Xenopus tropicalis: one gene and its partner. The protein of the gene in region 1 purifies or fractionates together with the protein of each later gene. This does not show direct contact. Links are inferred from orthologs where the notes say so. Each region holds a gene or a part of one and is shown on either strand. Other genes may lie near its edges.

Region 1 (3,946 bases):
GTAATCAGTCACTTGGTTTAATGTTAAAATGACTACTAAAAAGTGCTCAGATACATAAAAAAAATTAGAGTGTTTCAGCCTTTTGTGCAATGCAATGTTTGGGTTATTGGGGTCACCAGCCCAGATAGTATCTTATTTGTCACCCTGCAGAATTAAAAGGTTAACTTCCCCTACAATCAGACTACCAGTTAATTGCCATGCTTTATAATGAACCAGCTGTGAGAGTAGATGGAAAGGCTGTGCACTGTATTAACAAACTTGCATTTAAAAACTGACATATTGATTTTACCTTAGCTTACAATAAACCACAAGGTCAAAATGTTTCAGTACAGAGAATATAAAGGAGATCTATCTCCACCTAATAACTATATTTGCATGCTAAAAAGACAATGTAATTCTAAGCACGGAGCTGTATTTATATATAGGCACTCAGGTGCCCAAGAGATTTTTTTGTATTATTTTTTAGGAAAAATAAAACCTCCCCAGTTACCACTGGAGACTTGCTGTGCAAATCTGGGGTACCTGACCCAATGTAATGCATCATGGTCAGATGTAACATCATGCGCAGTTTGCAAACTGGGGGGGCACTAAATACAGCAACTTTCCAATATACATTTATAAAAAATGTCAATGGTTTTAACATTGTTTGTAAAGTTAATATCTGCTGAAAGAAGTATTTATGTTTCCTTTCTGTTGTCTGGTTCTGATTCCAGAAACAATATAGTGAACATCAGTTTTCTTCCAGGTCTATTAATCAGCTGGCCTCTGCTTGATTGATTTAGGAGACAGAACCAAAACTGCAAAGAATATAAACAGCTAGACAGGTACTGATTTCAAAAGCAATTACATCTACCATTCATTTTAAAACCAATATTTTTTAATGAATTTATATTGGAAAGTTGCTTATAATTCAATTTTATTAAGAAAAAACTGTTTTTACATTACATTTCCCTTTACATGGGACTTGAAAAAGAAATGTGTCAGTATAAAAAAAAAAAAAAAAAAGACAGCAGCTAAAATGCTCCTCAATCACAGAAGCCAGAGGTAAACACTGAGCAAGCCTTACCATTCAGCCATGCATACTGTGTTACACAAATATTGGCACTGCACAGACGTCTATAGGGCTGGGTACAGATATTTATATTGGCTCTAGGAAACAAACAGTAGTTCCACAATATGTTCCCACTGCTAATGAATGTGTATCTGTATGTCAGAGATGACAAGTACTCCATCTGTTTCTAAACTGAACTTAAAACCCACAGACTGGTTAAATTGCCAGAGGTCTACAGGTTGAACATCCCTGCTTAGGTCAATAGTTTTTCTTGCCCAGATCATAACCTGCTCTTTTCAAAAACCTTCCTTGCCCAAATCATTCCCTGCTCATGTTAAGTTTGATTGCCAAAATTATTATTTTAAAATCATTTTATAAAACCAAGCCCCTTCTGCTGCAATGCCAGGGCACTATGTGACATTGTTACAAACATTTTTGAGATTGCCAAACTAAGCAAAGTATTAAGGAAATTGAATGTAACCTCTTTAATGCGGTTTAAGAAAAACAGAGCTCAGAGATTTGCGTTCCATGGCAAATTAAAGGATAGTAGTTACATAGTTACATAGGGTTGAAAAAAGACCATTGTCCATCAAGTTCAACCCATCCGAGTAAACCCAGCACACAACCTATACTAACCAATCTATACACTCACATACATAAACTATATATACAACCAGTAATACTAACTGTAGATATTAGTATCACAATAGCCCTGGATATTCTGCTTGTTCAAAAACTCATCCAGGCCCCTCTTACTTGTCACTATACAGTGCCAGGATAAATGGTAATGTTGCTTTAAACACTGGCATCTGTTACAAACAGAATCGCTGGATCCCCATTGATATACTAATGTTTGCAACAACAATCAGAAGACTGCAACAAATGCCAATACAGCACTTTAAAGAGACATGCTCAGAGATGTCAACTAAGCCCATGTCTTTCGGTTGATCATGACCCATTCCTGGAATATCTTAAATCTAGTTCCTCTTCACATGAAACACAGTAACATAGAAAAAAAAGGTCTCCGAAATGCCAGTAGGATCGCTACCACCTAAAGACATAGGTGAGAACTCTTCAGATTTATGGAATATGCCAGGAATATCCACTGTCCATTAAGGGGGCCTGAGAAGATCAAGTTACACCTCTCTATAGAGGGCTGTAGAGAATCTAGCTGTAGGGCCACCATCCAAATCCTTTTTTCCCCACTGGGGTCGCCATAGAAGTGTAAGATTCTGAACCATGTATGCTATACCCACAGTACCAAATATTTGTTTTAAGAGCCCACTAAAGACTGGGTACCCCATAGTTGTGCTGCTTGCAGCCCTGAAGGATGAATGCCCTGTTCAGCCTCCTATTGTGCATTTTATTATAAGCCTTGCCCTTAGGGCAATGGCGTACGGGCGTTTGAAGTAGAACAAGGACCTGTAATTCCCACCATAGAAAATACAAGGGAGAGGTGAGTGCCTACTGGCCGGCCAGCCTGGAAGGAACTTTCCCAGATCCGGTTTGTGGTGCGCACAGTTGCTGAGTATGGCTCTTACCTGCGCTCACAGGAAGCTCCACGGCTGGGCTATGGCTGCGGCGGGAGAGCTCGGTAACAAGGTTGCTCGCCACACAATGCGGAAAAGCAGAGCGCTAGACCGAGAAAGGGAATGAGCTGAAAGTTTCCCAGCTGCTGCCTGGGACTGGAGGGGAGAGGCACACAATTCTTAAAGTGACCGCACCTGCAAAGGAGTCACAGCCGTGTGGGAGGGGAAAGAGGGTGCGCACAGGAAGATCAATGTACTGAATGGAAATGCGGGATAGGAAAGGATTTGACAGGAATAATAACAAATCTTTATCATCTAAGTAACCGCAGTAGGACTGAGTGTGCCCAGCTATTTTAGAAGAAATATAGGTTTCTGCCATGATGGCAGATTGGAAGGATGCCGGCAGCGTGCAGGTAGTTTATGCAGTGCTTCTCCTTCCAGTGGATCGGTTTTAACATCACCCCAGAGTGTGTCCCATTGCACAGATTTTACACTGATTTCATGCGTTTACTTCTTGTTCAAATCTCAACTATAATCGTTGTATAAACATGTTATTACCATAACTAATAGCAGTATTATAAAACTGTTCTGTAGTGTTCCCTCTAAACTGGTGGAACTAAGCTGGTGTCAGAACTGTCACAAGTTCCCACACAAAGCGTTTTGTATGCACACGTCATTTAGTAGGCACACAAGTTAGGGCCATGGCCCACTGGGACACTAGTCTCCTGCTGTTAAATCTGTGCTACCAAGGGCGAATAATCTTCAAAAAACACCTTCCCACTGGCAATAAACTGAATCACCAGTGGGAAGATGTTGCTTTGTTTTCCAAAGTCACTCAACGTTTTCCCCTGCTTGTACTTTCCCACCAGCGATTCACTTAATTGCCAGTTGGAAGGCGTATCAGGGAGAGTAGTTTTACTGTGGGAAACAAATCTACCCATGGGCCATGGCCCTTACAAAACTGGTTCTTTATGTGTACGATGATGACATTTAATTGAACATGAGCTCATATAGTTGGGCTTGTGCAGAAAAAATGCATAAACAAATTTCCAAAAATAAGGTTTTTTTTAACACAGACATATCCGTTTGTAAAGATGCTCAGGTCATCCAGGTCATGGTATATCTGTAGTAATTTCTGAATTGTGAAAGCCAGTTGGATGACTGGCGAAACGTCTTCAAGAAAAAAAAACACAGCAAGTCCAGTTGATTTGACTTACTACAGATACAGACATATCTGATTCCATAGATTGAAAGGAATTTGTGTGTCTGTGCTGCAGGTACCTGCTCCTTCACCTTGTTCTATTGTGAAGTGTCCTTCTGACTTCCAGGTAATCTGTGCACAACCAACTATGGAAAGCACTAAAGT
Region 2 (3,939 bases), on another chromosome or scaffold:
TGTTTTGGGTCATATAAAACTATTACTTTGAATTTTCTTAATATATTTTGAATACCTGAAATTAAACAAGCTCTTATTTGGTCAGAAAGAATGTTAATAATATGCCTGTTGGTGGCAAAGATTGCTTTCCAAGCTCTCCCCATGAGATTAGGACAGTTAAAGGAAAAGTAACACTAAAATTTTAGTAAAAAAATCTATTCTACCCTACTCCAATAATTGCCCTATCCTTCCCAGTGTTTATTGCTTTATTTGCATCCAGTCATTTCAAATACAGCGATCCAGAATCCACTATGCGATGATCGTCATCTCCTCCTAGCCCGACTCCTTCCTGTACAGAAGGAAGGCTAGGAGGAGATGTCGATCGTCGCATAGTGGATTCTGCATCTTCTGGATCGCCGTATATGAAATGACCGGATGTAACATTTTATAAGGTATTTTCTAACAAAGCATTTAAAATAATAAACACTGAGAAGAATAGGGCAATTATTGGAGTAGGGTAGAATAGATTCAATGTAACTTTTCCTTTAAGGTTTAAGCAATGAAGAAAGTCAGTCAATGAAGACTAAATAAACTCTCTTAATAATTTTTCAGGTTGAGTCTTTATCTGATTACCTGCATTACTGTTACTATCAATTACCACCTAGTAACATAACGTAAGCCCTACAGGCCTGGGTATACAATCTCAGCTAGTTTCCCTGTTGCACCACCCCCATTTTCCTTACCCATGGCATGGTTTAAAGCAGCATAAAATAGCAATATCATTAGTGGCATCCCCTAGGGAGGCACCACTGGCAGGCAGTCTCTGGTGGAGTCGTAACCCCCTTCCCCCCTCTAGTAGTTCGACCACTGGTACCACTTAGACAACAACACAGTACAGACGTATTAGGTTTTTTTACAGCACAAGCACAAGAATCGCAGGGCACTTTAGGCCATACTGCATAAAAAGCTCTTCTGAATGATTATTCTATGCTAGTTGATCAGACTAATTTACTGCGGATGCCTAATGAGTTTGCAAGTCTTCCATTAGAATGAATATCTTTTTTTTCTATAACAGTTTACTTTATTTGGAAATCTAGTACAGGTATAGGACCTGTTATCCAGAATGCTTGGGACCTGGGGTTTTCCAGATAAGGGATCTTTCCGTAATTTGGATCCTCATAACTTAAGTCTGCTAAAAATCAATTAAATATTAAATAAACCCAATAGGCTTGTTTTGCCTCCAATAAGGATTAATTGTATGTTAGTTGGGATCAAGTAAAAGGTACTGTTGTATTATTACAGAGAAAAAGGAAATCATTTTTAAAAATTAGAATTATTTGCTTATACTGGAGTCTATGGGAGCTGGCCTTTCCGTAATTCAGAACTTTCTGGATAACGGGTTTCTGGATAAGGGATCCCATACCTGTATATGTATGGTATTTGGATATGTATGTAATATCTACTGACCCCTTTTCATCAACCTTTTATGCTGAAGAGGCAGCTGAAAAAAACCTGCTCTTATGCTGATGAGGAGGTTGAGCTTTTAATTATAGACTTATATATGGTGGTTGATGTTTTGGGGTGACAAACCTCAACAATGGTCAATCAGATGAAAAAGAATTATTAGTTCCAATCTAAAGATACACCACTGTTTCAATAATTTGGAGTATTTCATATTTGCTCAATCTTAGTATCATTAATAGCATATACTGAATGTTTTAACAGTAAACATATGTATAGATAAGGGAATGACTTTTGTATGAAGCAAACATGTTTAAATTTATTGAGTGTGCTCTGCATTGTATTTCTGGCATATCCTGCTTGTAAAAGAAGTGGAAAAAAAGACATTTGAATAACCTTAGACATCAATCACTTTGCAAACTGACAGCTATAGATTTGATGCATTTGACTGCAGATTTGTATCACAATCCAGAAAAAAAATGCAGATACCCTATTCAGATACCCCCATAAATTATTCAAGGTTGATATTTTAAACTCTCGTGTTTGAAAATAGCCATTCGTATATGTGATAGCAGGATATTCCTCATCACTGAAATCACACAGAACATAACATATGCCCTTCCATCCCCCTATAAATCTATTACAAAACGCAACCCCTTCTTTAAAATGCAATGTGATCTTTTAAATAGCTCTTCAATTACAGCTACACCCAGTTCTAATTACTGCAATCCTCTAGCCTTCTGCATTAAGGCAAAACAAGCCTGTATTTCAGCAAGACTAAGAGCTTTTACAAATTGTGAGTGTGTGTAATAATTATATATATATATATATATATATATATATATATATATATTGTGCGTGTGTATGGGATGAGGCAGTTAATGCATAGCATAGGGAGCTGTATGCAGAAAGAATGGTTGTGTGGCTGCACATCAGGGATCCAGCACTTCCCTCCCCCATCACCCTTCATAGCAAATAAATCGTAAAGGAAAGAAAGGAACTGGGGGGGGGATTTCATTCAGCTCTGCTCACAGCCCCAAACCCAAATAGTGCAGACTGCCGTTTCTAGTATTTTCCATGGAAATACACAAGTGATATTAGGTAAGTGGATAATGACTCCGCGTTCTCCATATTTCTGGCTGATGAGGAGATGCACTGAGCATCTTTGCCCATGACAAATGAAGGTTACATCTTGCACAATTCCCTAGCAGCCATAGCCTAGCAACCAATTAGATAACCATCAGTCATTCATTCCCTCAGTGGGTTCTTTTCCATCCCTGAAAGCCTACAGATTTATCCATAAGCCATTTTGCTTACCTTTCTCTCCGGGTTCGGCTCAGCTCCTATTGCACCAATGCAGCAGCTCTCTCCCTGCACCTGCACAGCACAAGACGACGTTTCCTGATTGACAGCTGCGAATTGGTGGTGGGCGTGGCGTCTGCGCAGCAAGTCCGCCCTTCTGTGGCAAAATAAAAGGTTCGGATAGGTGAATACCACCGACCACTGATAAATCGCCGCTCCTGTGACGCATGGAGGGGTGGGATTAGTTGACTTGGTGACCGGGAAATGTTTCCCATTCTAATAGCGCTTGTTCTATATGTGTCCACTGCGACATGGCAGTATATAAATTATTTACGATGGAGGGCGAGAAAGGGCGACTTTTGCCAAGATGGTGATTAGATATAGGATATTAATAATGTGAAAAACAAGCCTTAAGGGCAAATATTACCATATATATATATATATATATATATATATTTAAAAATGCGCTAGATTTGTAATAAAGTACATCATTACCACATTACCTCACATATTAAAGAGTCATGGCTTCTAAAAAAGGCGCTTTGTTGAGTTGTGTTCTTTGCCAGATCCCAGCTTGCATTAGCACCAAATAGTTTTTAATACACCATGTTATTCCTGAATCAAAACTAGGGTTGACTCCTTTTCTGGAAAGAAATACCGGCCTTCCTATATTTTTATATTTCAACAGTGGCATTAAGCATCTTTTTTACTGGTCAGGACGGTACAGTACTGGCCAGGTGGGAACCCTGATCAAAACATGACATTGAAGTTTGAATAAACAGTCGATAACATATAATAAAATTGTAGCTCTTGGATGTCCTGGGATGCTGTTATTTTTTTCAAACATTGTTCTTGGCTAAGGTAGAGCAAGGGGAAATTATCTGACGGTAAATTCAGAATAGGAGGAGGGAAATCAGTGTGAAATGTTTCTATATACCATCCACGGAATCCAAACTTTATTAAACTGTTTTTGGTGTCGGTTTTCCAGCTCGTAAGTTTCTCCAAAATAAGAATATTATCCAGCCTGGCCTTTACCAGCAAATGTGCTAAATAACTTTCTTGTTTATTGAGTGTGCAGAGATCTCAATAAACAAGTTATTTAGCACATTTGCTGGATTTGAGTGCCATCTGTTACAGTTCAATGTTGTTGCAATATATATACAGATTTGAGCACCACTTCAACTTTTTAACATTTTT

What was found.
Region 2: the proteins of sytl4 (region 1) and rab3a purify together in Homo sapiens (affinity purification with mass spectrometry; 3 studies listed by BioGRID and IntAct, counting the BioPlex papers as one, with this or other methods). This does not show direct contact. The link is inferred for Xenopus tropicalis from reciprocal best matches to the Homo sapiens genes SYTL4 and RAB3A.

Annotation. Positions count from the first base shown.
Region 1 is NC_030684.2:64,656,702-64,660,647, forward strand, and holds the start of sytl4 (synaptotagmin-like protein 4), read right to left. Parts: upstream 2,801-3,946; 5' UTR 2,593-2,800; intron 1-2,592. UniProt on the Homo sapiens protein: Modulates exocytosis of dense-core granules and secretion of hormones in the pancreas and the pituitary. Interacts with vesicles containing negatively charged phospholipids in a Ca(2+)-independent manner.
Region 2 is NC_030677.2:103,862,669-103,866,607, reverse strand, and holds the start of rab3a (ras-related protein Rab-3A), read right to left. Parts: upstream 2,801-3,939; 5' UTR 2,758-2,800; intron 1-2,757. UniProt on the Homo sapiens protein: The small GTPases Rab are key regulators of intracellular membrane trafficking, from the formation of transport vesicles to their fusion with membranes.